2 linked regions of the Macaca mulatta genome follow. The protein of the gene in region 2 purifies or fractionates together with the protein of the main gene of each other region. This does not show direct contact. Links are inferred from orthologs where the notes say so. Each region holds a gene or a part of one and is shown on either strand. Other genes may lie near its edges. The genes, in order: NUDCD3 and KLHL15.

Region 1 (3,364 bases), on a different chromosome or scaffold from region 2:
GCGCAGTGTTCTGGGCAGTGAGTTCTCTGTGCAGCAGCTGATGCCTCTTGGACACATTTCCACACAAAACACTTCTCAACTGTTCTCCCTCCTGCACTCTTCAGGGGCAAATACGCCTCTCCTCTCTGGTGGGTTATTTCTGGCCCTGGGAGTATGCTAGGCAATTCTAAGGGTTGCCTTTGAAACAGTCTTCATTCAGCCAAGAAGTAATTCTCACACCCCTAGGTCCTGTCCCCAGGGGTGAGCAGGGTCGGAGGAGGCTGGAGATGGATACCCATGGAATGGGGTGGGGCACAGAGAAGGAGAGTCAAAGATCTGACTGAGGAAGAAGCAGGTGGCCAGCCACCTGGGAGACTTGTGTGTCAGACATGGGGTTATGTCCTGGAGGAAGCCCATTGTGAGGGCTCAGCAAAGGTAACAGCAGGTATGTACCTGGAGATCAAGGAGGGCCTTGGAGCCTGGTAGGCAAAGATGGCCCTCCAGTGGAATCATTCCCAACTCTGCACTCACCCTAAGCTTTCCGGTAACTACAGAATTCCAGAACCTGTTTGAAAGGATGTAAGATCTATAGCTACATTCCTTTTCTCCTCACTAATCAAAATCTTACAGGATTTCTAAAGCTGTGTTGAGATCTTGCCCAGTGCATTCAGACCAGATGGGAAACAACCCCTAAGAATTCCCCACGCTGGTGTTTGCTGTGTACATTGGCCTGGGACCCCGAGGCCAGAATATAACAATAATGACCATGCACAGACAGAACTGTCTCAGCAGCAAATGTCACACGCAGACCCAGAACTGCTTTAATACCGATTTATTGCAAACCAACACCGAGGAGCTGGAACAGCTTTGCAGGCTGGACACCTCACTCTCCTGGGGCCCTGGACAAGGGAAATGAGTCACCCCGCTTTCCTCGGACCTCAGCTGGTGGGACTTAGTGGCTGGCCAAACTGCGGCTGTTGTGTCTAAAAAGAGAAAACAGGCAGGGTGTGCCAGCTCTGGAGACTGGGCCAGTCCAGAGTGGTGGCTCAGGGCAGAGAATCACCCACCAAACAGCGTGGCTCAACGGGAGCAAGGCGTGCAGGGACAGGCTCCACAACCACACCAAGCACTGCAGTGTGGCACCGGGACCAGATGCAAGTGGCTGCTCCTGCCATGGGGCCAATACCCAATACTGCCCTTCAGTCATTCTTCCTAGACATTGGTTTGCCATTTATTAAAGCAGGGCAGGGAGTGGGGAGAAATGCAACACAGAATACAAAATCAGGCAAAACAAACACTGGTCACCATGGAAGTGATTCTCAAAGTCTCCCAAATAACAAGGTGTAGGGCATCTCACACCACTGCATCACTTCTGGAAGACTACCCACAGGGTGGGGCTGCAATGGGGGCCAACTCGAGAACTACAGAGATGAGAGGAGACACACACAAGACCTCCTTTCATTAGGCAGGAAAGCTCTTATGGGACAGTGATGTGAAATCCTAGGACCTCGATGGGAAGAACTCCAGGAAAAAAATGAGTCTTTCTCAGAAGGACCCCTCATAGATGACAAGAGTTCTGCTCCCCAGGGTCGAGATCTCCTTAGAGCGGCTTCACCAGCTCAGTGGCAAGTATCAGACAACAAGGCTCTCACATTCCAAAGGGGGTATCTAGGGCCTTCTGCTCTCGCGTGATGATCGGAGCAACATGTTTAGACCCACAGAAGACTTCCCAGGAATGCTTTCTTACAAGGGGTGTCAGCCACCACTGTAAACCAGAAACCAACCACAAACTTACTCTCCAAGACAGCCCCCACAACCCAAGTATCCACAGAGAGTGTGTGCAGGGGTGGGGTCCTTCCCCTGACAATAGGCTCTCTTAGCATCTGCAGGCCTTGATTCTTGCTGGCCGTGCATGGTGCCAGGGTGCACTGCTCTGCTGTGCGGCTCATCCATGCTCTGAGCTTGAGAGACAGGCAAATGGGCAGTGCCGATGGTAGCTGAACCATACTCCCGGCGATGGGCACCCAGAGCCCCTGTGAGTACTTGGAACACAGGCCTGAGGCCCTGTCCCATAATTTCATCTTTGCACCTTGGCTGGAGTCAATCAGCAGCCATGGCTCAGGGCATAGGCTTGGGGCTCCTGAGGCAGTGATCAGTCCCCAGAGAACAGGTAAGATCGGGCCATAAGCTCCAGGGAGCGCAGTCTGACACCCGGCACAGAGGATGGGAAGGGGGGAGTCTTCTCTCTCTTCTGGTTCAGTTGTGGTGGGACAGTGTGCCTTCACGCCCCATGCAGAAATTCCACTTCTCCTAGAAGCCCCTCAAGGTCAAAGCTTCTCAGGACTTGTGGCTGTTGTGCTCTGCTGATGAGCTGATGAACATGCTGTGGTCTCCTCCTGAGGGCACCAGCTCTCCACTCCTGCCTACGCTTTGACACCGTGCACCCAAAGAGGACGTCTTATGGGGAGCCAAGCACAGCATGCCATGCGTGGTGGCTGGGCTTGGTTCACTTCAACAAGAACCAAAGCAAGGTCGCCACAGTCAGAGAACAGAATCCCTGCTGCATCTGGACCTGAGCCCAGAACCCGGGCTTTCTCCCAACAACTAGAATGTGCAAACAGGGCTCCAGTTTCCACTGCTCTGACCATGAGGCTGAGGCAGGCAGAGCACATTTATAAAGGGATGAGCAAGAAGACCACGTGAATGCTCCCAAAAGAGGTCAAGGGGCAAAGAGTTTCCCAAAGCAGCCCCAGGCACAGCCATTCCTTGCTCGCCCTCATGCAAGCACAGAGCTTCACACACTTCAATGACTTCAGCTTCGCCTGAGAGCCCAGCAACAACTCCACATCCCAACCAGAAGACATGCAAGCAGAATAGCGTCAAAACAACAGCAAGCAGGGAGCAGGGGAGGAAAGACATGCTGCCTGCAGTGGCTGGTTGCTGTGGAGACAAAAGCATGTGATCCCAATTTGCTGGGATATCCTCTCCTGCATTTCAAACACCTTCACTCAGCGTCAGCCACAGCGGCCACCACACAGCAGCTGGCCCCGCACCTTCTCTGCAACAGTCTGGAGATGCAAGGTCAGGGTGGAAGGCCTGGTTCACCCTTGAAAGAAAGGATGGTTAGGGGTAAACAAGACGAGCAAGTCCCTGGAACGCAGGGAGCCGAGGAGGGCGGCCGAGGATAAGGCTCTGCCTCCCCACCGGCGAGGGTTTCCTTTCCTTCTGGTCATTAAAACTGCACAGCCCCCGGGGAGATGTTGAACATGGCGGGGTCGAATCGCTGGCCTCGGAAGGGAGAACCTTCAGCATCCCACCCCTTCTTCAGCATCTCATGGACTTTCTACAAACAGAAAATAGAGAGATTAAAGGGGATCAAAAGGCA
Region 2 (4,437 bases):
TCTCCTCACAGTTAACATTATTCACTCTCAAAACATTTGCACTGGGAAAGGCCAGGCTTGACAACAGGCCACCTACATCATTTGCGGGGACTCTTGTTCAAAATCAGGGAAAAATGGCGTTAAAAGGCTGGGCGATGGCCGGGCGCGGTGGCTCACGTCTGCAATCCCAGCACTTTGGGAGGCCGAGACGGGCGGATCACTTGAGGTCAGTGGTTCGAGACCAGCCTGGCTAATGTGGTGAAACCCCGTCTCTACTAAAAATACAAAAATTAGCTGAGCATGGTGACGCGCATCTGTAATTCCAACTACCAGAGAGGCTGAGGCAGGAGAATAGCTTGAACCCAGGAGGCGGAGGTTGCAGTGAGCCGAGATCGCGCCACTGCACTCCAGCCTAGGAGACAGAGCAAGGCTGTCTCAAAAGAGGAAAAAAAAAAAAAAAAAAAGCTGGGTGCGGCGACTCCCGCCTGTAATTCCAGCACTTTGGGAAGCCAAGGCGGGCGGATCACTTGAGTCCAGGAGTTTGAGACCAGCCTGGCCAACATGGTGAAACCCCGTCTCTACCAAAAATACAAAAATTAGCCGGGCGTGGTGGTGCATGCCTGTAATCCCAGCTACTCAGCAGGCTGAGGCCCAAGAATCCTTTGAGGCCAGGAGGTGGAGGTTCCAGTGAGCAAGGATCGCGCCACTCCACTCCAGCCTGGGCGACGGAGCAAGACTCTGTCTTAAAAAAAAGAAAAAAAAAAGTCGTCAAAAGCAGTAAAATATAAAGCTTTTTCCTTTCTTCTGTATCTCTCGACTATTTCACGGCGTTTTTTTTTTGAGACGGAGTTTTGCTCTTGTCGCCCAGGCTGGAGTGCAATGCCGCCATCTTGGATCACCAGAACTTCCGCCTCCCGGGTTCAAGAGATTCTACTACTGCCTCAGCCTCCAGAGTAGCTAGAACTAGAGTAGCTGGGATTACAGGCGTGCGCCACCACGCCCGGCTAATTTTGTATTTTTAGTAGAGACGGGGTTTCTCCACGTCGGTCAGGCTGGTCTCAAACTCCCGGCCTCCCAAAGTGCTGGGATTACAGGCGTGAGCCACCGCTCCCGGCTCTCATGGGTGTTTTTTAAATTTTATGTTTAATGTCGTTCTGAGTAAAGGAAAATTAAAAATTTAAATTAGCATGACTTTTACCATTCACCCTTATACTGTACAATCCCAGTTTTACATGCAGATTATTAAACCAAGCGTGGGGCCCTTCTGAACATCCATGAAGGCAAGCCTGCCCTGGTCAAGGTTAGGTTTCTGAGATAACCCGACTCGAGGTAGAGAGAAGGTCAAACCTTCAAATTCCCAATAAAGCAATGATTTGTCAAAATTTTATCTTCAAGTTAAGTGATAAATCCAATCTATAAAACCAACCACTTTGAAGTAGGCTTTTCCTTTTACTATGTTAATCCTGTCCAACTTCTATTATTCTGCCTTTTTACAAAACACAAAAGCATACTCTGAAAAGACAACCGATATTGGACTAGACAATCATAAATTTAATAAAACCTAACTACTCAAAACCATTTGTTAGCTAAAAATAACAATGTACCCAAAAATGCTTCTTTTTCACTTTTTGTGGACCATTTAAGCCAAACCATACTATATTTTTGATGTGCCAAGTAAAAATGATCCATACTGATCTGTTACACATATAAATTCTGGCAAAATAAATTCAATTTTCAAACCACAAATATTTACTATCCTATTCTTTCCCCAAATTAATCAGCAATGAAGAGTGCAAGTTAACATCCTCTACCACTGATAAACTGTGACTCTAAGCACCTACTACATGTGATGATTAAAAATGAGAATCAAATTATATAATTACATTAAGTGCTAAAAAGTTGAAATGTTCTATACATTTCTAGATCTATTAAGGATTACTGAAACATGAATGCATTGATAAGCTCTTAACCAATTTTCAAATTAGTAGAAGTATTAGAGCATCCTGCTCCCTAGATATGAAAAACAGGCATTAAAATTAGGGTATGTATGTCTGCAAGGCATTTTCTAAATTACCACTTAATCAGATCAACAAAGGCAAACAAATTCGGAAAACAGAAAAGACTAAACAAATGTAAGGTGTTAACTAAATATTCAGAGTAAGAAAAGGGGCCTAAAGCGGCCTAGAACGAGGAAAAGCAAAGCGCCTACAGTAACGTTACATTTGAATTAAAGAATACCGTTATTTAAATAAGCAGTTAGCACTTCGTAGGAGGAAGGCCAAGCAACGTGACTATTATAGATCTATGGATTCACAGCACTGCTTTACTATTATTCCGTACTTATTTGCTTTTATTTGTAATATAGAAATAAAGAGGCAGCAACAGTTAGCCACTACATTAACCACTCTAGCAAAGGTTACTTTAAAAAACGGCCTTGAATTCTTACAACACTCTACAGTTAAGGATTATTTTCACATATATGACCTCATATAGTCCTCTCAACCCTGCGATGTTGGTACTACCGACTATATTTCATAGATAAGAAACCGAGGCTCGGTACGCGATTTTTTCTCAGAGTCACCCAAGTCGAACCCAGACCTTCCGATTCCTAGTTTTATGCCTCGCATTTCGCATAGTTCTATTTCAGGCATAAATTGAATTGTTAAAGGGAAGGAACGGGTTAGGGAAAAAATAATCATGGTACCTGCAGCTGTGTGCTGCAAAAAATGGCTGAATTATGCTTCTTCCTTTTTCTTTCTCGCTCTCTCTGGGGAAAAAAAAAAAATTACATTTCAAACAATTTAAGTAAACTCAAAGACAAATGAGGTCCCGGCGTCTACCCAATGTTTGACTCGGGTCCGTGTAGAGAGGGCCGGCGAATTCGTGCCTAGCTCGGGGTCGCGGGCGAAGCCCGGGCTCCGCAGGCCGGCGGCCAGGGGCGGCTACGTACCTCGGGGGGTCCTGTCCAGCCTCTAGTGGACGGCAGTCTGCATCAGGAAGAACCGGGCCGGCGGGCCAATGGGTGGGCGGTCGGGCGCCGGGACGGCACTCGGCAGGCTTCTCGGACGTCTACGAGCGGCCGCTGCCGGCACGAGCCGGGTCGCTCCGGCGGGGCACGAGCGTGCTCGCCTGCAGCACCCTCTGGATAAGTCCTGGGAAAGAAGACAGCGCTGAGTCGCGAAACCAGACAGTCGGGCTCCGCACGAGGCGGCGCGGCGTCGGGGCCCGGACCGACCTTGCCAACGCCGGGGGCCTCGCAGCACCCGGCGGGGCTCGGCGGGAGGGCCGACTGGGGCCGCGGGCGGGGGAAAGGGCTGGGGGGCAGCAGGCAGAGACAGAAGCACCAGAGAAGGTAGCGTCGAGGACGGCGTCTCCGAGCTTCTGCCCCGAAGCGCGCCGAGCCTCGGGATCACCCACGCCGGGGGTGGAGGAAGGCGGGAAAGGGGCGGGGAAGGGGCGGGGCGTGCGGGGCCACGAGCCGGGGGCCGCTCCGGGCCGCGCGCCCCCTGCGGGCCGCGGGAGCCGCCCGGGGCCCGCCCAGGGAGGCGGGGCTGGCCGGCACGGGGCCCCGTGCGCCGTCGTCTTGACGCGGAAGCCCGCCACGCTGGGAGAGAGGGCGGAGGGTGGGAAGCCGTTGGGGGCGGGGAGCTGGCCCGGGAGGCCCCCCCTCGGCCCCTGCTGGCGCCCCGAGGGGGCCAGCCTGTGGCCTGGCGGGTGTTTACCTTCCCCCTGGTCGAGCGCCAATGCCGCCATCTTTCAGCCTAAAGCGCGTCACTTCCGGCGCCACGGGAGCGGGAGCCGGTGTGGGAACGGGGGTGGGGGGCTGGCGGGGAAGGCTGTCCCGCGCCCGCGGCGCCCCGCGTCCCGGCTGCCGGCCCGCCACGCCAGCGGTTTCCCACCGAGGAAAACAGGCGACCGGGCGTCGCGGCCCCAGACTGGGCCCGACGCAGCTTCCCCCGCGGCGCCGCCGTCGGGGCTGAGGACACTCAGCTGTCCTCGTCCCCTTGGTCCCTCTCCGCCTGCACGAGCGATGGGCCCCGAGCCACTGAGGTGCGCCCACCCTCGACAAGTTGAGGGCTAGGAAGCCAGGAAAGTGTCTTTTTGCATCTTGGCCACGGTGGGGGTGGGGGAATCGGGGACAACGTGGAGGGAGCTTTTCCATAGCTACCTGTTATAAAAGTGACTAGATCTGCGCCAAATGACATCATTTTTGTAAGGCAACTTGCAGTGGATTATTGCGTCACTGTCCACTTGGCTTGCTGCACAACAATTACACGTTTCAGAAATCGATTTCCCAGGGGTGGGAAAATTCATAAAAAATTGCATGTCTGCACCACCCGGAGATAATGCCGGATTTAAAAAAGCTGTTCTGTTTCCACTTGCGTCAAAATAAGAACGTTCAGAGGGCAGTGATTTTTGTTGTTCATTTTTAACACATCAGCTGTAGAATTCTAGCTA

What was found.
Region 1: the proteins of KLHL15 (region 2) and NUDCD3 purify together in Homo sapiens (co-immunoprecipitation; 3 studies listed by BioGRID and IntAct, with this or other methods). This does not show direct contact. The link is inferred for Macaca mulatta from reciprocal best matches to the Homo sapiens genes KLHL15 and NUDCD3.

Annotation. Positions count from the first base shown.
Region 1 is NC_133408.1:84,051,291-84,054,654, reverse strand, and holds the end of NUDCD3 (nudC domain-containing protein 3), read right to left. Parts: intron 3,323-3,364; coding exon 3,212-3,322; 3' UTR 807-3,211; downstream 1-806.
Region 2 is NC_133426.1:23,827,122-23,831,558, forward strand, and holds the start of KLHL15 (kelch-like protein 15), read right to left. Parts: upstream 3,027-4,437; 5' UTR 2,930-3,026; intron 2,747-2,929; exon of another isoform or gene 2,684-2,746; intron 1-2,683. UniProt on the Homo sapiens protein: Substrate-specific adapter for CUL3 E3 ubiquitin-protein ligase complex.